Oryzias latipes: one gene and its partner. The protein of the gene in region 2 purifies or fractionates together with the protein of the main gene of each other region. This does not show direct contact. Links are inferred from orthologs where the notes say so. Each region holds a gene or a part of one and is shown on either strand. Other genes may lie near its edges. The genes, in order: phb2 and arfgef3.

Region 1 (12,949 bases), on a different chromosome or scaffold from region 2:
CTGGTGGACACACCCGGAACTGTCTGCAGGTCTGGCCCACAAACCTGTAGATCCCCAAAAAGTCGACCTCAACATGAGTCTGAGGATTATGGAGAGAAATTTTGAGGATTTAACTTTTGAGTTATTCGATCCAGGATGTTGGTTCTCCTCTCCATCATTGTTTTGGATTACATGTCTGAGTTCTATTACAGCAAAATGGTTAAGAACCTCACAGCTGGTGAGTGTGAGGATGTTTTTGCTGAAAGGATCTGAGCAATCCTAGACAAAGGTCTGCAGATATATGGAGGTTCCAACTACCAGATGATCTGCCTGAATGATCTTCTGAAGGTCAGAAATTAGATGAAACAATGATTCTCCTTTGTGGAATAATGGATTTGTTGTCTTCTATCGTTTTATACTCTTCTCAGACTCATGTTTCTTCTCTGATGTCAGTTTGTGTCTAACACCTGGACACTGCAGAACTGAAGGTCATCTCATCAGCTCTGGCTCAACCCCCCCTCCCCAGGTGATGCAAAAAGAAACCAGACCCTTTAACTCAGTTGGATTTAAGTTTATTTCATAAATTCACAAAAACAACAAATGTCACCGGGATCTTTTGCTCCAACTGGGACACGGCAACAACCAATCCTCAACAAAGGATGACGATCTTCTCATCCAGTCAGGTAGACGGGGGGTAAATGTGGTACTGGTATCTCTACTCCCTTTCTACCCCCCCACCAAAGCAGCTGTCTATCAGTCAGGGGGAGGTCCCAGCTGAGCCGCCATCCTCTTTCTCTCCATCACTTCTTCTGCATCAAGGACAGACTGAAAACACAAGAACCTGGTTCAGCAGCATGAAGGTCAGCCAACGTTAAGGTCGCTGTGTGGCTCCATCCAGATGGACAATCACCAAAACATTGTGGATTAAGATGAAGCTATTAGACTGTGCATGTGGACAAACGACAGTCCACACGCACAACAGCAGTTCATCATCTTGGCGATTAAGAGAAAAACATTCATTTATTGTTTAGGCTAAAGTTAGAGGTCACTTGACTCCATTTTTGCGATCTTATGTATCGAAGAGTTTCCCGCTTAGGGTTTTCAAGACCCTTTCTTGTAGGGGCGTAGCAATTAATCGATTAGTTGATAAATCAATTTCTATTCCTGGGATGAAACCAGATTGATTTGTCCTGTCGGAATGGAATTGACCAATAAAAGGGGAGGAAGGCGAGATGAAGGCCACTGACTTTGAAAATACAGGAGCTAAAACATTCAATCTGGTTTACCATTCCTTCACATCTGCTTTAGATGGTGGGTGGGACGGATTTGTTTTAAATGTGATTCTGATCCTTTTAAATTACCAATCAAATTTTTCTAAATACCACAAACAAGTCTTGGTCTATTGGAAATTACCGTATTTTCCGGACTGTAAGTCGCTCCGGACTATAAGTCGCATGCACCAGACCAAAAATGCATTATAAAGTAGAAAAAACACAGATAAGTCGCACTGGACTATAAGTCGCATTTTGACGGGAAATTTATTTGACAAAATCTGAGACCAAGAACTAATAATTTGCACAACCTTATATGACACAATCATATCAGACTGTTTATCTCATAATTTCACAGTAATTCTTTCTCAAACTTATTTATTTATTCCTTTCATGAAGCATAATTGGCCAACTAATAATCTGTTTTCAGCCTGTATTTGTAGAAACAGTTTTCATTTTTATTGCATTTCTGAATCTATGAAATCATTGGAAAATAGAATATTATGTTGTTAGCCTTCAAGATCTTACTGTAAAAAAAAGTTTGCTGATTCTCTGAGTCACTTAACATACTCTTAACACTTAACATCCCTCAAACATCAAATTGACCCAGGAACATCATCTCTGTTCCTCACAAATGAACATAACAGGAGGGTTAACAATGTATTTATTTGAATTTATTTCTAATATAAGTCGCTGCGGTGTATAAGTCGCACCCCTTGCCAAACTATGAAAAAAAGGGCGACTTATAGTCCGGAAAATACGGTAATCTACATCCACAACTTCGGTCCAAACACCAACTATTTGAGGGGTTTTAGACAAAATATTTGTGTAATGTCTTGTCTTTTGTTTTTAGGATTTAATTGTGTTTTTATGTAAAGCACTTTGAGTAGCACAAGTTGAAAAAGTGCTATACAAACACAGTTTGATTTGATTTGGAATAATCGATCTGTTCTATACAAACAAAAATTCATGTTTTACAAAAGTTAGATGGACATTGTCCACCTAATGGACAGTGATGGCACTTTTCTTAATTCTACAGATATTGAATTGTGGATGTAATATCATTAAAAATGTCTCAAAGTTGGTCTTTCAATCAAAATGAGAAGTATTAATTAAAGGATGAGTAATTACTGCTAAATAATCGTTTTCTTGTGAAACCCGGCGCTTTTTAGATGACTTTTGGGCTGGAAAACCATGACTATCTGGCAACACTGCTTGCTAGCATTACCATGTGAGTAGGTCAGAGCTAGCTTGTTAGCATTAACACATTGGTTGTGTCCAAATTCCCTCACTACTTAGTGCACTTCAGAGGATGATCGCCATTTTCAAGATGTCACTGCAAAAACAAGTATCCATCAGTGCTCACTAGATCGGCATAGACCACAATGGCTTTACAGGTCAGGGTTAGCATGTTGGAAGATCACTGTTAGCATTAGTACAAGCAGGTTTTAGGCTTGTTAAGCCTAAGATGTTGGGAGGTCAGTGCGACCTTTGTGTGTGAACCTACGTGTTGAAGAACGACTGATCCTGCAGGTTCAGGACCAAACCGTCCGCATTCAAGTAAATTCTGTTTTGGGACGCCGCCACCTGGAGGAAACAACATCTTCCGTCATCATCATCATCATCCTCACAGACAGAAACAACTCTTGTGCTGCAGAGGAAAAAACGTCTCTGACCGTCTTGGCAATGTTCTGCGCCGCTCTAATTCTCCTCAGCTTCAGGTAACCTGGGTTCTTTGTCACTGCTTGGCCAAGCTGAGATGCAGACAGATCGATCAGTGTGGCTGAAACCAACTCAACAACTTTTCTTTCAGTCAGAACCTGGTTTTGTCTGAGCCTGACTGGAAGAAACACGTAGACCTTGACGGGTCACCCTGTCGCTTACCATCTTGGCAGCTTCAGCTTCTCCTTCTGCCTGAATGATCTTCTGTCTTTGGTCCTGTTTGGCTTTCTCTACGTAGAACTGGGCTCTCTGGGCCTCTTGCTGAGCTATAGGCACGCACAAACACACACAGACACAAAGGTTGGCTCTTAATGAGGGCTTAAGTCCCATTCACTGTGTCTCAACGGCTTATTTTCTCACTCCGGCTTGTTATTTGCCATCACGTGACTGCAGGCTTGGTTCTACCTGGCGCAGGTGTGTGCCCACTTACCAACTTGCTTGGCCTCCACAGCAGCAGTATACTGGCTGCTGAAACTCAACTCGGTGATGGACACGTCATCCAGGATGATGTTAAAGTCTTTGGCCCTGTCATACAGCTCCCTGCGTACCAGCAAGGACACCTGCTCCAATCAGAGCACAGCGTTAGCAGAGCTCAAGACCTCACTATGGGATGTCGCCTGTTACAGAGGAGAGCTCCAACTCACCTGAGCTCTCTGTGTGATCAGCTGCGATGCGTTAAATTTGGCCACCACAGACTTCAGAACCTCGTTTACAATGGACGGCAGAACCCTCTCATCGTAGTCCTTACCCAGCTGCTGGTACATGATGGGCAGATTGGAGGCTAGAGGTCTGGACAGGACGCGTACGGCGATGTTCACCATCTGCAGGTCTACACACACAACACAAGAAGGTTCAATTTTATTTCACCCAAATGTAGAGGGACCACAATGACACAAGAACCTTACACAGGTGCCCCGAATAACAGGAAGTCCGGTATCACCAGTCATGGATTATACACACCTGGCCCAGGTAGTTAAAAGAAACCATGGCCAGCTCTACATCCAACCCCCAAGCAAAGACAGTGAGAGTTTTACCTTTGCTGCCTGTCAAAGAGGAGATCTTTCTGGGTTTGGCTCTGATGTCATAGATGATGGGGTACTGGATCCATGGAATCCTGCACAGACACACAAACCAGACGTTGCCTTGTAGCAGATGTTCCAGTTCGTCTGTGTCCGTCTCTTTCCTGTCCTCTCAAACTACATCTGCCCGAGGCACACGGTCATCCTTACACAGTCTGTTTCTGCTTTTTTTCTTTCCTAATTTTCTATTTAGAAAATGTTCCTTTCCACTGTTACCGTTTGCTCGCTCGGTTCAGGCACCAAAACTCAATGCAATCTGTTGGTCATTTCAGCAGCTTTCATTGAAATACAGGTAAAATAATCTGGACTAAATTAGATTAAACAATTATAATTTATAAAGCTCTGTCTGATGTTTTTGAGCAGTGTTTTGAGACATTCCAAGTTATGAACTGGTGCTTTCTGACATACTGACACAAACGCAGAAGAAGTCAACCAACTTCAGAGAACCGATTTAAAACAGAAGTCAGTCCACATGGAAGCAAGTCTGCCTGCCAGTCAGACCCGAGGGAATAGCTGGGCATGATTACATGCTATAATTTACTTCTTAAAGTCCCCACAGTGAACTAGAGACCACAGACCACACCCCTTTCTGTCACAACCGACTCAGTGAAACTTACCTGAAATGAAGCCCCTCTGACAGGATTGTGTCCATCTGCATCCCTCCAATCCTGTTGAAAACGATGGCTCTGTGACCGCCTTCAACTGCACACACACAAAACAAGGTTATTCAATGTGACTGGAACAAAAAAATGGGCAAATTCGAAGCATATAATACAAAACAACAACAGTAAACTTAAACAGCAAAATGATGAATTACAATTTATCACTTGAAAACCAGATAAAAAGACGAAGGCTGATCAAAGACATTCAGTAGTCATACACTGATCTAAAAACAAGTTTCTTTTTATCTAAACTTGAACAGGTCAGAGATGTACTTTGGTGCTCAGCCATGGAGAGAATTTAACACAATCAGATCTGTTCTAATGTTTGTTCTCTGAGCAACAGGAAGTAGATGCCTAAGACCAAGTGAAGTGGTCGTCCTTCCTGGTTTTGGTCAGGACTTGAGCAGCAGCGTTCTGGATGAACAGCAGCTGCTTTACATCACCTTTACTAAGGCTACGTTTACACTGCAAGGCTTAATGCTCAATTACGATTTTTTGAAAAAGTTTGATTTTTTTGCAAGGCCGTTCACATTTCCAATTAAATGTGAATTTCTGTGACTCTGGAGAATCTGAGGGTCTGAACGGGGTAGTGAACCCCGAAGGAGGATCCGCCTTCAGTCCCCCGCGCTTCTGACCACGGTCGGAAAGGAAAAAAAGTAATAGCGGGAAAGATTTAAATTATATTTCAAATGACCCTCGTCTAAAAAGGAGGCAAACATCTAACATAAAAGCACCATCCGATTGTCAACAACGTGAAGGGTTGTATCTGATTGGTCAAATGAATAAAGGGATTTTTTCAATTTGTAAAATACTTCAAGCTGCCATAAGATTGTTGTAGCACATTTAAGGCTTACAATTTATTGCGATTTTCGCAGACCTTTGTGATATGGATGTTGCACAGCTTGAAATTGCTTGCACTGGTTGTTTGTGAAGGACATGGACAAAAAGGTGAGACGCTGCTCATTCTAAGACCTTCAGTAGTCCAAACAGGTGTTTACCCAAAGACACTTTTGAATAAGTTCCTCCTTGTCTAAGGTCATCACAGCGTTAAATCTTGCAGATGCACAAATTCACAAACTACCTTTATTTGTAGATCTTCCTGATCTGGTCCTGCTTTGTCCACTTTTAATTGTTTTTGTTTATCCTCTTACACTTTACCCCCTGATACACATGATCACAGTTGCTACAGCAGAAACCAGATTCCTGGCCTCACCTGTGTATGTAGCTTCATAGACGCCATACGCCAAAGCGCCGGCTCCCAGCAGCAGCTTAAGTCCAAGCCCCGCCCCCCGACCGCCAGACGACATCCGGCCTGACAGATCTCTCAGGTGCTGGAAGAAGCGCTGTGGTCGGATCCAAAGAACAGCAGGGATGGATGGGAAAAAAGACATGATTAGAATGAACTCAACTAGTCTAAACTAGTAACAAAACCAGTCTAATGCAAACCACGGATTGGTCAAACTATAAAAAAGGCCATATGAACTGCTTTAGGGTCAAGTCTGGTTTATTCTAAACTAAATAGGTTTATTTTAAAGTATACCAGTGTAAAATAAACTAGTCTGAACTAAACCAGTCTATGTAAACTAACCTGTCTGGAAGAAACCAGACTAACCTTAACCAGTTTGAGCTAAACCTGTCATAACTAAACTCATCTGAATAAAATTGGGACAAAAACTACAAATTCCTTAACCAATCCAAACTAACCAGCTCTGTGAACTACAGTGGATGAGTGACCACTCTGTACTAGCTAGGAGGTTGCGGGTTCTAATCCCTAGCCGGGTCACAGTAAGATGCCTTCCGGACTAACAATGGAGAGCAGGAGCTGTAGTGAGCTGTGCCTGCCTGACTGACTGCAGCTCCCATCTCTCCCTCGTGAGAAGATGGGTCAGAACCGTAGAACGCGCTTCCCGAACTCACTGACGGAACTGCAACTTATACATTTGACTACAGCTAAATAAACTATCAGTCTGAACTAAGACTGTAGATTCCAACTAGACTAAACTACACTTCTTTACATGAACGGCACACATTACCATAACCCGTGCCTCCGCAAAGGTAAAGTAGTCACGTGGGCTGCAAAACACCGGCGCGAGGTTCTTGCGCAGTTAGCAACTACCCTGTCAGTTGCTTTGACCTAAGCGGATACACAGCGCTATCTGACCGGAACCTTCTTTCTTTTACGGTCCAGAACACTTACGTTCGGCTCCCTGCTCGACATGTTGTTCAACGGTACCCAAGGTCAGCTCGCTGCGCACGCAGTTTAGCGCAAGGCATGCTGGGACATGACGTTGCAGTGAAGTAGGTGGATCCCAATGAGTTATATGGGATCCGGTGTTGCTGCCTCCTGTGAGTAAGAAACGGTACTGCAGCTGGTCCAACTGTGTTTTCTTCTGAAGACCAACTCCAATGAAAATTGTGGGGTTTTTTTTATGTTTTTGACGTGTTTTTGTTGCGTTTTTCTCAGGATATAAAGAAATGTAAGCTAATAATTGCATTTCTGAGTATTTCTAATTAAATCTTTGTGAATCAGGAGCAGACGGAAAAATGCTGTTTGAAAAAGCTTGTGTGATGTTCGTGTTCCTAAGGCAAGCCACAAGCTCTCTGCTCTGGTTCATTCTGATGCATTCAGAGAACCATCCTCGTATAAAGAAGGTTGGGGTCATTGGGAGACTGTTAGCTAGTGGGAGAGAGTGTAAACAGAGGGATGTTGGGAAGTGTGGGCAGACTTACTCTGCACCAACTGTGCTGCCCACATATCAGAGGTGAATTTCTAATGAACTCCTGGCGCTCTGCAGAAACTATGTCCTAAAAAATGAAACAGGTTTTTTGTTTTGGATAAATGGCATAATAATAATTCAAAGACCAATGGGAACGCTTTGAAAATGGACCAAAAGATGGTCGGAGTGAAGTCTTGGGTTCAGTTCCAAAAAATCTGTTATGAACTTCCATTCTATACAGACTTCACATTTCTAAATCACTTCGAAACCTGCAAGTTTTTGTTTGTCTGTGCGGCTGTTTCACTATGAGAGACAGACAGCTTGGACCACTGACTGCAAGAGAACTGGACCAAGCATGCGTGATGTCACCCATAGAAAATGATCTGCAAATCAATTTAGTCGCCATTTTTCAACAGAATAGCCATCGCCAGACGTCCTCAGTAAACCGTGATAAGTCTGAGTCCGACTAAGTCAACATTTTCATGGCAACCTGTCTCTCCAATGAGGAGTGAGCATGTTCGAAGGACACACCTCCTTTCATTGAGCACAGGCTCAGGAAAATTAAAAAAAAAAATGTGACATGTTCAACGCAAGGCCACCTGCTTTCATTGAGGCATCTGATTGGCTAGTTTATAACTGGAATAATATGAACTACAGACAAAATATGAAAACAAAATTAGGATTAGCAAGAACATGTCAAGAAAAAGGGAACAGCGCAAGAATGGTTATTGTGACATTGAAGTTTGAGACTTTGAGTTCTTGGATCCAGCCGGCACCTCCTAGTTGGAACGGGGGGGGGGGGGGGGGGTCAGTCCAGTTCTGTTATACAGTCAATGATGACGAAACTCATTTCAGCTCCTGCATCTGTAACGAGCTGCAGTCACAGTCCATCAACTGTCACATCAGGTCGGTTTTATTCAGTTTCAACTGTGATGTTCAGATGTGCTGCGTTTGTATGTTTATTAAAAAGAGGACACTGTGTTATTACAACATTGTTAAACTTTAATTCACAACTCTTGTCATAGTAAAACACAAATCTATTCCACACAGGTTCAGAGAGCAGCTAAAAAAAACAAAAAAAACAAAGTGAGAAATTTCCAAAATCTATGAGGATGTTCAGGAAAAAGCTGCAGGGGTTCACGCTGTACAGGAAAAATGGAGCCAAGCCTCAGTGCTGCAGTGGAACAGAGCTTGGAAAGGCTCCACAGTTGACACTCATAAAGCTCTCTGAGGTTGCTGGTGAACATCTGGTGACTCCTCTGGAGGACAGCAGTTAGGAGAGTCTGTCAGCTGAACCTGGACTGACCGGAGCTGCTGTGTCCCACCTCAGGGGCCGCTCGCCGAATCCAGTCATTGTGTCTCTGAGCTAAGAAAGGTTCTGTACTAAACCAACGAAAGCCCTTTTCAAACTGTCCATCAGCACACAGGTGAGTACCTGCCCTCACCTGATGCTTGATGGTCCTGAACAAAGAGGGTGACCTCTGAAATGGGACACAGCCAAGAGGAAGTTTGATTTGAAACGGACCTGCAGCACCATCAGGATCTGAACACACCTGAAATTTTACTCCTCGGTCAGATGTGGCCAAATCCGTGAGCAGTGCTGTCCAGAGAAAGCTTTCCATGAACATCTGGAGCAGTTCACACACAGATTTATTGGTCTGACATGAGGTCATGTTCCCGAACAACCGAGCCTCCAAACGGGTTCAACAGGGAGCAAAAAGAGGAGTGAAGGGGAGGCTTTTGGTCCATCAGGTGGAAGAGAAATGTGGGGATAGGTTCCTGGAGCTGGAAACAGTGCGGCTCCTCATTGCCCTCAAAACAGGGGGGCAACCAAAACACGAAGCTCGCTTTGTTGACTGAGGACCTGAGCGTGCCAACTCCACATCAGCACCACTGCTGCCAACTGGACCTAACCGTGGTGGTTTGTGACGGTGGAGGACGTCAGCACTTAGAGGGCACAGTCAGAGGTCTAGTTCGGGCTCAGACATAGAAAAGCCGGACCCGGGATGTGCTAACGTGGAGATCGTCATCAAAAAACTTGGTCTCTATGATCACGTTCCCACTAGAAGACAAAGAAGGGCTGCAGTTACACCACGTTCTGTAATATTTAACATCCTAACACACAACAAGCAGCAAAATGAAAAACACAAGTGAATGCATGCAAACACAACCATGTTGGTTGTAAGAAACACAAGTAGAAGCTAGTCCTCCATTGGGCTGCACACTTTAAACTAATATGAGTGCATGGAGTTTGAGCATCACAACTGTCAAAGCGTAGGTTGTACGTGTGCATAGTTGTGAGCTTGAAAAGCTGTAAGCATGTGCAGCTGTGAGCTCACAGGTAATGGGATGCACAGCTGTGGTCACAGACAAGAGTCTGACGATACGTTACGTATCCCATGTTGTACCGGAACACATTTTCTTTCTTTTCCGCGGAATTGTATGTCTTCCATTGTAATAAAATGGTCAAATTATGTTTATTTAATGATCACAATTTTAAGCACTGCAACTGTATCTCATATAGAAGTTGCTTTTAGCCAGGCAAATTTATAATTCTTTTATTCTGGTAACTTAAACTATAGAAAGGTAAGAGTCAACATTGTCTGATTTCCACAATAAGAAAAAAAAAAGGAGTGAATGTACCTTAACCAATAAGGTTCTAAAAATATGATTGAGGAAATAAAGCGCTGTTTATTTTCAATATTGGTACTTCAAAAACACAAATTCTTTGAAGAAACAATAAAGTGTGATGATGAAGCAGCATGATAGGATGAAGGAGACGCTTTATGTGGCAAAGATGCTTGTGTAAATTTCAGTCTGAACCGCTGCTGCAGCCACGCTTTCTCACAATAGCCGCGGTGCAGCTGCAGTCTCTGAGTCCGCTAAAAAGCACTGCCATTCGCGTTTTTGTATGATACTGGCAGCAACATGGCTCAGAGTTTGGGTTCGGTTCCCATCCCAAGTAAAAATTAAGTATATCATGTCTCATAACAATGAATAAAGCTGCCTCTAGCTCAGATCTTCCTGTTGTTTTGTGTGGTGTAGAGCTGCTCAAAGAGGCTCCGTGTGCTCTGCTGCCAACTAGCGGTCGGAGGGCTCATAAATAATTAAATAAATATCGTCCTGATAGCATTTTGAATCGATACAAGTATCGCCAAATGACCTATCGCGATATATTGCCGAAACGATTTTTTCTAACACCCCTAGTCACACACAGTTAAAAGCATGGGTAGCTGGGAGTAGCGTTTCAAATGTAAATTGTGAGCATTCCACTTATGCAAGTACACCTTTAAGTGTTTTAGTTGCAGTGTGTGCAGTTTTGAATGTGGGCATATGAGTGTGTGAAGCTGTGAGCATGTGCAGTTGCCAGATTGTGCAACTAGAACTACTGCATTTGTAAATATGCCCAATTGTGAGCATGTGCAGTTGTCAGATTGTGCAACTAGAACTACTGCATTTGTAAATATGCCCAATTGTGAGCATGTGCAGTTGTAACTGTGCAGTTGTGAGTGTATTTTTGTTATTGTTAACAGTTGTGAGCATCTCCAGCTGTGAGAGTGTGCAGATGTTAGCATGTACAGCTTCGAGAGAACACAGTTGTAAGAGTGCACAATTGTGAGTGTGTGCACTTTAAAGCCTGTGCAGTTTTGCACATGCCAGTCATGCACAGTTAGTTGTGAGAGTGTGCAGATCTAAACTCGAGGACGTAGAAGTCCGATTAGTGCGGTTGCTTCATGAAATGGGCCAGGCAGCAAGGACATCACCAGCAGACAGGAGACGTAGACTCACGTCAGAACACTGGCAGGCATCATCTGTGATTCTGGAGCAGCTTCGATTAGTGACTGCCACGTGTTGGTGGAGTTTGGGATGACAAAGCCAAACTCAAAGAACCACTCTGCAAATGCACAAAAGACACACTATCACAGTGCTGCTTGTTGCTCTGGAAACTCCAGAAAAACATGTTGGGATGAGGAGGGTGGGGCGTCCCGTGGGTAGAGCTGAGAAACAGCTGCCCCTTTGGGACGCCCTGGCAGGAACACGAACACAGAATTGATTTGGGAAAAAAAATCCACTGGTGTAGCAGCTTGAGGGAAACTAGACTTGTTTGTTAAAGACCAATGCTGGTTACTATGACAACGGGTAGGCGAATATGAACAATCTTGCAGTGATGGATGAAGGAGAAACATTTGTCGGTGTGAATTCTCTGGGGTTCAAGCAGACACACTCTAGCTCTATGGAAAGACGTCTGGCATCTCACCTTCTAGACACTGTCCTTTGAAGAGAACTTTCTGCTCCAGCCTGAACTTCTCCAGCTTCTCCGTGGAAGAGAAGTTCAGTTCTCTGGACACCGCTTTGCACTTTAGGATCTTCTTTGGTACGCGAGCTGAGAAAACAGAGGATATGAGCTTCAGAAGAGCAACTGCTCAGCCGGTTGCTCATCTTCAGAGAAGCAGATCCTCCTGGATCATCAGTTCTTTAGAGTCCCTCCTGGCTGTGTGAGAGGCTAACCCCTCTGCTGTCTTTAGTAGCTTGTCCTGAGTCCAGTTCCGAGTGGCGACCTACCTTCATGCTCCACCCCCGGTACCGACAGGTCCTCAGTCCCCTGCCACAAAATCTTTCCCGTCTCCGCATCGCGGAGGTTCATCCAGTTTCTGCCAAAGGAGTTAAGTGAAGTCAAGAGCTCAAGCCAGGAGCTGCTGTGAACCGCCACGCTGCTCAGAACCAACATTTTTTTGTACCAAAGTGCCACTGTGGTGGCCCGTGCCTTGAGGTGAGCAGGCAGGACTGGTGATCAGCACCTGACACCCCCCCCCCCCCACCCCCTGGAAAAGTGTGCTGAGTTCAAAGGTTCCTCTAATCCCCTCAAGTGTAACTCAGTCTAATCTGCAGGATCTGCATTTACTTTGGAGCGGAGAAACCAGCCGCCTACTATGAAGCAGAGCTTTGGCACAGCTGTCAGAACACAAACTGGGATGGAGAAGAGTCCCAGACCAGTAACCGTTGTGATGAAGATCAGTTTTCAACCATAAAGATCTTCATCTTCAGTTCAAGACGGCTCTCCTCCTCTTCACCGCCTGCAGATTCATTTATGTCCTTGGACCTTCAGGTCAAGCTAGTTTCAGATTCTGGATCACCATCGTGTGCCTGCAAAGACCTCTGGGTATTCAGATGAACCCCCCCCTTCCAACCGGTACCGGTAGACCTCACTCTGACCCGGTACTGGCTTTGATCTGACTCTCCATTTAATTTCAGCTTTGATTCTGTGGTCTGACCCGGCTCCGAGTCAGTTGGATACTAAGTTGCTCGTTTCCTTCAGTGCCGAATCCGTGGTGCATTCGTGTACCACTCGGACTCTTCAGCATCTTGGTAAACACGGCAGAGCCGCGGCTGGTTCTAGCTAGCCAGACGGGTTCCGCGCCGCGCGCAGACCCTGGTTTCGTAAACTCAGTCGAATATCACAGATGCTAACAGCATATCGGTGGTCGGTTTCGGTCCCCCTCAACGACAAACCCCCGCTA
Region 2 (11,778 bases):
TAGTAAATACTCTGACAAAAACCAAAAATATATACAATTGGCTAATAGACTTTTCAAAATGCTAAATGATTGTTTGCACTCAAAGAAATTTATGAATTAATATGTTAAAAATATTAATTGTGAAATTTGTTACATTCACAACAAAAGTGTTACATGCATGACATCTTTTTGCCATTATAATGATGTATTGGGCCATATATCTATTATAAAAGTAACCAACGGTCTTTTTATTGATCAAATAAGTCCATTTTAAGTTCAAAATAGCTGCAATTCATTTTCATAATAAAAAAAAGTATTTGACTGTACTCGAATTCACATTGAGAAAACTCAACCAGTGCCCTCTGATTTTTCTTCTGTTTATCACTAAATACTTTTAAAGAATTTGCATGAACCCAACTGACCGTTGTCTGTCTGTCAGTGGAAGGCAGAGCAGAGGGCAGAGTTGACCAGTCCAGAGAGTCCCGCCCAGCCGGTCCAAACCTCATCCAGCTGCTCTCCAGCAGAGACCGCATGGTGGATGCGAGAAGTATCCAAAACCCAGCCGGAGCCAGGGGCCACAGGGGCCACAGCAGTGAGAAGACAAGAGTTTACAAAAGAGGAAGAGCAAGTATCCGCTGACAGCTCTGATGGACACTGAACTGCAGTTTAAGTGATCAGCTTTAAAATAATGACCTCAGAGTGGAGGAGGAGGAGGAGGGGAATGAGGGCAGCAGACGGTCCGTGTGTCCAGCAGAGGGGAGAAATGTCACCGGTCCTGGCGGGAGGATTTACAGCTGCTGGGATCAGATCAACACAGCTGGTTATAGATGCTCACATCCACTCACGTGTGCCTTAGATGTGTAGGATTCAAGTGTATCAGCTTCTTTAAAGTATCCAGGTTTATTGACATAAAAAAAAAAGAAAATCACATTTAAAGTCACATTAAGTTGTCGCCCTAGGTGTGTGATATTTGTTCTCCGAATTTCAACCATCCCCTGGGGGAGCAGTGAGCTGCAGACACAGCCACACTTGGGAACCTTTTGGTGTTTTAACCCCTCAATCCAACCCCTTCATGCCAAGTGTCAAGTATTAAAAACATGGTATTGAGTCCCATTTTTTGTGCCTTTATGACTAGGCCTGGATTTGAACTTACTACCCACCAGTCTCAGGGCGGACACTCTTCACAAGGCCAATGAGCTCTTTAAATATTTGGTGCAAGCAAATTTGAATAAATCTAGTCTAGAAAAGGCCAAACTTTGTTAAACACAGGTTTTGCTAAAAGATCAAAATAAAAAAAACTTCTGAGGTTTGGAAGAATCGTAAAACCAATACAGACCTAGAAAGAACATACTTAATACACACTCTCAGACAGGATTAAACAGGACTTTGTTCCACAGGAATTTAATTTACTCTTTATCGTCCTGTACAGTATATGAACGTTACTATGTTGTTAAAGCTGAATATATTAAGTTTGTGCAGCAGTTGATAAGATTACTTTTTTTTGGTTAACTAAGTAATAAGGCTTTTGTAAATTTAAGTTGTAAAGAATATTTACCTTTTGTTGTGTATTTATTTTTTCATGTCAACAAGACCTCATATAGAAGGATAACTTCCATACTCCATGGATTGCAATAGAACTGGAAAAAATGTATGATAATAACCGAACATTAAATGTATGTAAATGTATGTGAAGAAACTGGATTTTCTAGAAAGGACTGTAATAATAAGAATAGTTAGGTTGGTTCGTTTCCCCTTTCAGTTTCCAGCACACAGAAATGCATAAATGAGACTCAGAGACAGTTACTTAACTTCAGTGAAGATTTACTCCGCACAAAACAGCACAGGGTTACAGACAGAGGAACAGGATCACAAGGTCTGAACCAGGTCTGAACAAAGACACTCAGAACAGGGCTTGGTATATATACCTGACATTTACATATTCAAAAGATGGTCTGGGGATCTATGGTGTGAAAAACCCACCCACATGCTGTTGCAGGCTGGATACTTGAAGGTCATAAAGCTTCAAGTGTCAGATCTCTCTGATGTTCCCACAGACATTTGCCAGAGCACAAACACCAGAACACACAAAAAGTAAAAAGGGAGGATGAGGAGAAACTGTGAGGACAATAGCTTGTTTGTGCTGTCTTAGGCTGTAATATAATTTTGAGATGATAATACATGCTCAGTGAATTAAGTTTAAACCATTAGTGTAATAAAAGGTATAGGTAAATGTAATAATAGTAAAAAGGGGGTTTCTAACTATTCTATTTCTAATTATTCCTAACAATGTATTATCAATTTTCTTCTCTGAAGTTCTTAAAAAAAAAAAAAAAAAAAAAAAAAAAAACGAACCAAGTCAAAACCAATGTATCCCCCCCCCAAAAAAAAGATACAAATGTAATTAATATAAATAAAGTTTAGCCTAAATTACAAAAGACGTTCATACAACTACACATCTTGTGTGTCAGAAGATCCAGAACCTTCTGTTGTAAAAGCAAAATATATCCAACGCAAGAGGCAATCAGCTCCGATCTGTGTGCTCAGCTGTTGGACAGGACAAGTGTTTTAAAAAAAAAAAAAAAAAAAAAAAAAAAAAAAAAAATCACTATCCCAAATGCTTTCAGATGCATTGCTGCCATTTGTGGACATCTTGTTTTGGCCTAAACAGGGCCTTATTGGCAAAGGTTTTGTATTTTTTAGTGTTTATTTGTGAAGAACTTAAAAAGACACTCCCGAACTGAACTTGACATCTTAGAAAGACCAGGTTTTATATTACTTTCCACCTAGCAGACCCTTCAAATCTGGATCAGTTATCAAAAATTGTATAGACACCAATGAATCCCATTACATGTTCTTTCCAAATTAAGTTCATTTGTTAACTACTAAAAAAAAGATAGTGATTATTGTTAGTGCAGGCTTCCACTGACCAGATTTTAGATTTCCTCAACCGTTTTTTGTCAAGCAAAGCAACCTTTCTCCTCTGAAACTGTGTCACATGTCTGGGTCATGTTCGCACTTTTTGATCCGTCTATGTCAGACACAGATGGAGTAAGGATAGTGCAATCAAAAAAGCAGCTTTGCAGGAACTTTGTCCGCTCTCAGACAAACAGGCTCAAATAAATAATCAGAAGTCTCACACTCATCTATAGCACAGTCTACGCAGGATGTCTGTGCAGGTCCATGTTCTGTCCCGGATCAATTTGTCTGATCTCAGAGCAAAGTGGGTCAAAGGCCCTTTCTTTCTCAGTAATCCATCACTAAAGTCCTCAAACTACACTTGACTGTACTGATTATTATGAGTAAGCGTGAGATTAAACCTTTCCAGGAAAAGGACAGTGCAAGAATCTGATAGATGGGTGGTTAAGAGGAGAGGGCTTCACATCCCACAAAGACGTGATGAAACATATGACAATGCATCGATTCTGACCTTGTTGTTAGCAGGCACTCGCTCAAATCTGTTTAAAAAGAAGTGAAGCAAAATCACTAAACATTGGAGTTAAGAATCAACCTGAAAGTGAAGCAGGTAAAGCCCCAGAAGGAAAGTTGAGAGGAGGGGCAAAAGAGGACATATGGTGAAAGTGCTGGTGAAGAAACCTGACATTCACAGACACATTAGCTGACAGATGCAGCCCTAGGACCTAACAGCAACTAAATCCTTTCTCCGTGTTGTTGATCACACTGATGGCTGACAACATCTGTCCTCCCACTGCTCGCGTTTAAATGAGAGCAGGTCAGGGACAGAGGGAGGGATTTAGCCAACTGAAGTAAAACTGCGAGGAACGAACGAGCAGCGAGACATGCTAATGCTCATTCACAGTAATGAGGCCGTCTAAAATGACTTCTTTAAAGAAATAAAGACGCAAGTTTATAACAATGATTGCTACGCTGAAATCAAGGTGCAAGTTTCTGCTCTAAAGAAATGAGAAGTGGGTTAATGCTTACAAAAATAGGAAATTCTAGTTTTTTTTTCCTTTTGAACATTTCCACTGCAACAAGTTGCATTGTTAAATGATTGCAGGCTCACAAAATGCAACTGGAATGAAAATTAGACGCCATGTTAACAAGAGATTTTGGGAAAAAATGCCTTTGAAATTGAAATTAACCCATTGCAGGACGAATAAAGACTTATCTTCTTATCCTAAAAACATCACTGATAAGTTGTCAAGAACACTGCAAATGGTAAACTTTGTTTTGTTTTTACATTGAGTTTACATTTATCACATGATTCTCCATCCATTCATTTTGTTCTGCTCATCCAGGACCAGGTTGTGGAGGAACCAGTCTAAACAAAGATTCCCAGACTCCCAAGCCACGTCCTCCAGCTCCACTGGGGGGACCCCCGAGGCTTCCAGGCCAGCCAAGACACAGTTTCTGCAGTGTGTACTCTGTCTTCCACGGTGGGACATGTCCTGAACACCTTCCCAGGGAGGCGTCCAGGAGGCATCTGGACCAGATGCTCCTGCTCCGGTCATACAGAGACAGGACAGCTATCGGTAAGGCTCCCCGGAACCCATATTCAGAGTATGGATTCAGATGGCTGTAAAATAGCAGCTTACAGAGTTCAAAGCCTTTTTTTTTTTTTTTTAGGAGAAACATGTAGACTTGAGTCTGTACTTCTCTGAAATGAAAAGCCAGCAGGTGATGCCAACTCTGTTTGGCCTCCTAATCAGAAAAGAATTGGAAGAAAGACTTTCTCATATTTCTTTAAGTCTTCCTTCCTTTTGCTTCTAAACATGGTTATTTCATTATTGAAGACAAATATTATCAGAGACTCAAAATATACAAACATTTTTTTTTTAGTTGATTGGATTTGTTAAGTTTCTTTCCCGAAAAAATAATGGATGTTTTTTTTTTGGATATGCAGTAACATTATGTGAAATTGAGGGGGGAAAAGAAATTGAGACAACAGAGTGACTTTTCTTGGTGAAAGCAAGATTTAAAGATCGTCATGGCTGAACATGAGAACCAAGTAGCCTCCAGGCTGTCATACAGAATCAGACGATGTGATTCGGGCCAGCAGAGCATCAGCCTTATCGCCATTTGCACTTAAGCCAGAGATCATGGATGAGCAGGATTCCTTTAAGCCAAACTGGCTCTCCTCCAAATAAAGAGGATAGAATAAAATGACCATGTAGCTGCATAACGCAGAACTCACTCCAGAGGTTAGCAAGTTATCTGACTCGGGTAGTTAGTACAGAATTAGTTGTTTATAATTACATGAACAAAAAAATCAAGATTTGGGATTTCAGATTTATCTGACTCAGTGTATATTGTGGTAAATTGCAAAAGAAGGCCTGGGGACATTGGGAAAACGTAGGAAGAACAATTTCAGTGCTTAACCCCTTTCTGCAAATCTGTTTGGTATTTGATAGGGATACTAATGAAGGATTGGGGAGGAGGGCAAACCAAAAGAGGGCAAAGTTTTTGAGATACTTTAGCTATTCTTTTATTTAATACAGCAGCATAATATAAAAATGTTTTTTGTTAAAGCAAATAATTTTTGAAACAGCTTTTTTGAAATTGATGCATTTCTTAGTTCAAATTTAGTCTCTTTAAGGCTGTTTTTTTAAAATTAAAAATCCCTCATAATTTCATAATAACAAAAATTGTAATATGAAACTAAATTCAAATATTTCTTTTAACTCCAGGAGCTCAACGGTTTAATATCGTTTTTTTTGTCAGACATATAAAAGAAAGACAAAACACTTGCATGTAGAAAGTTTTGTTAAGATGTATCTGCTTCCTGATGGATTAACCTGTAACTACATGACACAGGATTCTTTTTTTCACAAAAAAAATAGAAAATATAGAACACTACAAATGTTTTTCTAAAAGATCTTACTTCAAAGACAAAAGTTGAGTATTAAGAAAAAGATAAAGGCTTTTTAGTGCATCTTCCTGGGATCACTTTGGTTTTTATTCATTTTGGTCACAAGCCACCAGAGCTGTGTACAACTGACAGTCAAAATATCAATGTAGATTTTAAATGGTGAATCCATAACCATCTTCTCAACATGAATATGTGGTTCACTGCAGTGTTGGTGTGAGAAAAGCAGAAAACTTTCAATGAGAGGACAGCGGCAAAGCCAGAAGGAAAATGAAGGAAACAGAACACGGGTGGTCAATGTAGGTTAAAAAAAAAAAAAAAAAAGTAAATCTTCTTAAAAGCATCACAAGCCCCATCCTCCCTGCCCTCAATATGATGAGTTCAGCATCAGTTTGATACTCTTATCATTCACAACTTGTGCTAAAGTGAACATAAAAAAGATGGTCAGAGCAGCCTGAAATTTATTTTTTACTGCAGCCATATTGTTTAAAATACTAATAAATTAAAATGTTCTTAATGGTTATAGGAGGAATAGGATTTTATAATGTATTCTCTAGAGTTTTCATTAAAAAAAAACAGTTCTGTTAGAAAATTAACAGGACTCTGTGCAGGAGTTTGTATTTCTAGATTCTTATGTTTTGTGATTTTTTCTTTCTTCATTTTGGTCCTTCCAAAGTGCGGGGATTGGAAATTAATTATGGATTCATCATTTACTTTGAAATATAAATAAATACATTCGCCTCAAGCATAAACAATAACTGGATTACTAATTTCTGACGTTTGTAGTCTAAAAGGTAAAAAGGCCATCTTAACTCAAGCAGGAATATACGTTTCACGTTTTTATGCCCACCCATCTTTTAGTAGCAAAAGCTCACCCATAATTATGGACAAACTAGACCTTCTTCCATAAAGCTAAAACAGCTGATTTATTTACAAAAATCCAGTCATTTCTGTTGTCATTCATTTAAAATAAAGGGAAAAAACCATAAACTGAGATATGTCAAAGATTCTTATTCTTCCATGTCCTGAAGTTGGGTCATGACATCTGGACTTATTGTCTTCTTATCCAAATGGCTTCATGATGAAGCTGTTAGGGTAAGTGGCGACATATGAAACCAGCCTCTAATGGTCATTTGAGGAACTTCAACATTTGTTACTTTTGGACGACTTCAAATTTGGGTAGAAAATTCAAAGGCTTAGTTCAAACCTTGTGGCTTAATTGGCTAAGGTGCAAATTTAAGATTATAAAAAGAAGACACTTCATTATCCCAGAGTTATTAGAAGAATCTATGCCTTTTTTAAATATTCTGAATTTCAAAATACAACTCCAGTAATACAATTCTAAAAGGTGCTGCTTCAAAGCAGCAAAACTAGCAGTAATCTTATGTTTGTTTGCCAATTACAGCAGAAGAAATCATAAAAGACAAGATGTCTCCAATAGGAAAAAAGAATCATTTAAACAAAGTGTCCACTGACACACATAATCATACATGAATCAACAGCTGGAACAGATCATCAAAACACACATAAGTTTGAATAAATACCCAATAGTAGAAGATTTATTGATAAAGACATTCAGAAGGAGAAATGCTGACTTTGCAGGAGATTTAAAACTGCATCTGGAAAATAATCTTTCACTGAGAGAGAAATGCAAACAATCAGATTATGAATCAGGCCTAAAGCTTCACTTGGACAGAGAAAGAAAATGCTGTCAATCAAATAAATCAAATGAGCACATCTTCGGACTTAGATGTTGTGACCTCCTTTTGATGAAGGAATTAACTGCCATTTTTCACAACCAGGACACTTGCTTTACTTTGACGGAAAAGCTGGTAAAAAAAATAACCTCCTTCCTGCAGAATACAGAAGCGCTGACGAGAAGAGAATGAATGATGTTCAGCAGGAGAAATGTCGTTGCTTTCTATAAACAGGGGTGGATTGTGCCTATCCGAGAAATGCAACGAAGCTCTGAGAAATGCAACTGGATACCAAAAAACACACATCATGATTGTACTGGGACAATAAGATTAAAGCATTAGCAAATTTGCCACCCAGTTTTCAGAAACTGTGAGAAAACGTACCATTGGAAATCTATCGCTGTCTGTAAGCCCATATTCTTCCAGCTTGGATTTTCAAACTTAATTCTCACTTCGTGTGCTTACATCCTTCAGTGAATGCTGCCTCCTTAAGTTTTTTTCCAAGGTCCTCGCAGGGGTGTCACACAACGATGTCATAGAGTCTGCCGACCCGGCCCAGCCACTCTCGGAGCGCCTGCCGGACGCGAGGGTCAGTTACATGACAGGACAGCTGGCTCAGGCAGGGGTACAGCACTGGCTGCAGCGCCAGAAAGGAGGAATCTGACAGAGCCAGAACGTGGTTCAGAAGTGTTAGGACCATAGTGGTCCACGCCTGTAAGAAAAGGAGACAATTTCAAAACACCGACTTGTTATGCAGTTTCAGAAAAACAAAGAAAGCTTAAAGACACACTACAATTATCTTTTCATCTATTGTAAAAACGTTCCCAGTGGTCTTTAGATTATAATTATGCCGTTTTAAGCCATAAAAAAATAAAAACAGGCAGAGGCTGGTACTTTTTCAGTACCTGCCTTATAGAAAAGAAAATGTGCAGCTTTTAATTTTTTTGGAAGTGTTGTTTCTGATACACACCTGTATCTGAGCTTCAGAATCCCTCAGTGAGATGCTGTGGGAGCTGAGGGTGGATCCTGACCGTGGCCTCTTCTCCTGCCTCAGCACCTCTGGGCCAGCACTGACTGAATGCCTCAGATGGGGACCCTGCTGATCAACCAGCTGCTGTGGCCTTTGTGGGGGCGTCTGTGGCTCCTCTGGGGCCCTCCTCTCTGCTGCACCAACAGTCCCTCCTCCTCCTGCCGCCCCTACTCCTCCTCGCCCTTGCTCCTTCATGTACAAGTTGAGGTGACTCTGCTGCGGCTGCTGCTGCTGTTGTTTCCTCCGCTTGTACTCCATCATCAGCTTGCTGATGGTTTTGTCTGTGGCGATGGTATACAGTTTGTTTCCGGCGCTCTCCCACCATTCCTTTCTTCGTCCTGGCCCAGAGCTACTAGAAGTCCCTCCCACTGAGCTCCCTGTGATGTTGGATTCCCTCCTCTCTCCTCCTGTCCGGAAGTGGTGTGGCAGGCTACCCGTGAAGCTGTGAAAACAGAAGAGACAGTTTTTTTTTTCCAGTAGCTTTTATTAGACAGATTAAGATTATTTTATATTACAAACCTGAATCTTGGGCTGGGGGTAGACATGTCTCCTGGCGACACTGCACCCAGGTCTGCTGACTGACATCTGTAACCCCCGTCCTCTGAAGGCGTTCCACTCATCGAGAGTCCGCCTGGGGATGTTGGCGTGGGTGTTTCAGACTGGAAAAGAGGCAGGAAGAACACAGCCTCTGTCCCCCCTCCGGCACCTCCTCTGAGCAGAGGGGACTGCTCCAGCGTGCTCTCCAAGTCCCGGTGCATCTGGATGTAGCTGTTACACAGATCCATGCACACCTTGTAGAGGCGTTTGACCAGCCAGGCCCAGTCTGCACTCCCAAGTGGCTGTACACCGAGTGGCGTGACGGGAGGCCGCCACTGATGGCGCTTCTCTCTGCCACGAGGAGGACTCACCTGCAGGAGGAGACAAGGTTTACACACTGATTTTAAACAGAATGGTCCTGTGTCTGTAAAATGTGTGTCACCTGTGCCGTTTCTTCAAAAATGTCTTCATCCTCCGAGGAGGCAGAACCAGGATGAGATGAGTCGGAGCTCCCCTCTTCATCTTCATAAAGGATCCTTTTCACCTGAAAACAACAGAAGGCTTCAAAAGCAATGCAAAGACAACAGAAATCATGGAAGAAGCTGTAGCTACAGTCGCTACATGGTCCTCAGTTAGAGGTTAAAATGTGATCACCAAATGGTTTATATAAAAGGTGAGCTGGAATGTTAGTGGGTTATTTTAGAGACAATTATCACACTGAATACCTGCTCTGAAAGTCTTGGTTACACCTACCAAACACATAAAAGCGTAGATGTAATATTCGAGGAACACATAAAAAATGTTGAAATAGAGGCATTTTTCTAAAGGTATTAAGCAAGAGAATGCTGCATTTTTAATTTTCCAGACACAGTTTTGTTTTAGAGCCAAGATACGGTCCAGTCTTCATCTCTAGAACAAAGTCTGACGCTTAATTTTTCTGAGACAAACGACACGCTTGTAACACATTCTTTTACTGAGCTATAAAAAACTAAATCTCAATGGCGGATTTCAACGATCACAGTTCTAGTTGAGAAGAATCTTAAATCTGCCCACCCCCTCCTTTTAAAATTGGCATTTGATCAATATCCTTTTTTCATTCCTTTTTTTGCAAATGTATCCCTAAACTAATTTTCTCAGCATTTTTTTAAAACATAAAAAAATACACATTTGGAAAAAAAACAATCCCAAAAAGGAAGAAAAATACGTTTCAATCAGTAACTCTTTATAGACAGTACTAAATATTCTATATTTACTACTAAATCATCATACATCAGTATTTTTTAAATCCGTTTTTCTCCAAGATTATCCCTAAAAACCAGAGAAAACTATTTGTTTAAGAGTTTTGGAAAGAAAAGGGGAAAGACATACCTGTGTGTGAAAACAAGCAGACTCTTGAAAGATCATAACTATAATTTGAAGTGTTTGATAGATCTTGCTAAAAGTTCATCCATATACTATTTGTTAAATTGACTTATACTTTTACAAACTCAATTTCCCATCATACTGCACTAACCATGCATAATAGGTGGGTGCAGTAAAGCATACTACTGTCAATAGACACCAGATAGAAAAATAAAATGCTGAACTACACACAAATAACATTTAAATTGCTAATTATGAAGAGGCAAATTTTTTAATGAACTACTGCCACTCTGCAGAAACTATGTCCTAGAAAATGACAGGTTTTTTTAGTTTTGGTTAAAGATTGTTAAAAGACCAATGGAACACTTTTGTAAAAGATTAAAAGATGATTGAAGTGGGGCTTTTAACTACGGTATTTCCATTTTGACCAAAAGGTGACATTTTAATATGACCTTAGAAAATCTTTAAAATGAAAAATAATTTTTTTGCACAAATTATAAAATAAAAAAATAAAATAAAAAAATGTTTAAATGCGTCATGAATAAATTTGCTGTTGATAGTAACATGGGTGCTCTAAAGTGAGCAGAAGTCCCAACAAAACAACCAAATGTACTCATGGCAGGATTTTCATAAAACAACTGTAATCGTTTTAATGTGTAAAAAGCTTATTTCCCACCTGCTGTGCGGTCATGCTTTCAGCCTGGCTCAGCGTGGCACAAAGCAAGGCCTGGAAGTACAGGTTGAAGCTCATGGCAGATTGCCGATAAAGGTTGGCAGCTCCACAAACTCCAGAGACCTTCATCAACAGATATTTCAGCCCAGGACGAGTGTCAAAGTCCCGAGCCGTCCTGCAAACAGATCAGAGCTCCCATGAGCTACATGTAAAAATATCCTGCATTCCTTCAATTTACCTTCAGAGATTCAAAAGGTAAATAGATGAGTCTTATTTGACTTTTTTGTGTTGCAATAACCTGTAAGAGTCGAGCAGCAAATCCAGGATCATGGCTAAATTAGACATAGAGATGTAGCGCAGGAAGCCTGCTGTGGGTCTCCTGGGGTCAGAGGTCACAGGAGTGACTCTTTCATTTCCTTCAGGCTGTTTGACAAACTCCTCCAGCAGGATGTCATAGAGGTTCTGCAGAAGAACCTGGTGGGAGAGCAAGCTCACCACGATGGTCCGGAACGGGATCCTGCACATTGTTAAAAAAACACTGTCAGAATACATTACTACAGTCTGCCTACCCGTCTGTGTATAAATGCATCTGGGAAAAGAGCCCCACCAGATGAACTTTATGATAACATATTTTAGAAAAAAGTCCATCTCAAACATAAAAGCAATAATTTCA

Evidence for each region.
Region 1: the proteins of arfgef3 (region 2) and phb2 purify together in Homo sapiens (affinity purification with western blotting; 4 studies listed by BioGRID). This does not show direct contact. The link is inferred for Oryzias latipes from reciprocal best matches to the Homo sapiens genes ARFGEF3 and PHB2.

Annotation. Positions count from the first base shown.
Region 1 is NC_019862.2:5,429,084-5,442,032, reverse strand, and holds phb2 (prohibitin-2), read right to left. Parts: upstream 7,036-12,949; 5' UTR 6,932-7,035; coding exon 6,911-6,931; intron 6,057-6,910; coding exon 5,927-6,056; intron 4,754-5,926; coding exon 4,669-4,753; intron 4,087-4,668; coding exon 4,007-4,086; intron 3,802-4,006; coding exon 3,617-3,801; intron 3,533-3,616; coding exon 3,403-3,532; intron 3,239-3,402; coding exon 3,135-3,238; intron 3,005-3,134; coding exon 2,927-3,004; intron 2,838-2,926; coding exon 2,758-2,837; intron 805-2,757; coding exon 780-804; 3' UTR 536-779; downstream 1-535. Other genes in the region: pde6d (retinal rod rhodopsin-sensitive cGMP 3',5'-cyclic phosphodiesterase subunit delta), read right to left, coding at 9,411-9,492, 11,220-11,325, 11,689-11,814, 11,994-12,082.
Region 2 is NC_019873.2:14,395,070-14,406,847, forward strand, and holds the end of arfgef3 (brefeldin A-inhibited guanine nucleotide-exchange protein 3), read right to left. Parts: intron 11,623-11,778; coding exon 11,404-11,622; intron 11,281-11,403; coding exon 11,109-11,280; intron 9,615-11,108; coding exon 9,513-9,614; intron 9,442-9,512; coding exon 9,053-9,441; intron 8,976-9,052; coding exon 8,474-8,975; intron 8,216-8,473; coding exon 8,024-8,215; 3' UTR 5,862-8,023; downstream 1-5,861. UniProt on the Homo sapiens protein: Participates in the regulation of systemic glucose homeostasis, where it negatively regulates insulin granule biogenesis in pancreatic islet beta cells. Also regulates glucagon granule production in pancreatic alpha cells.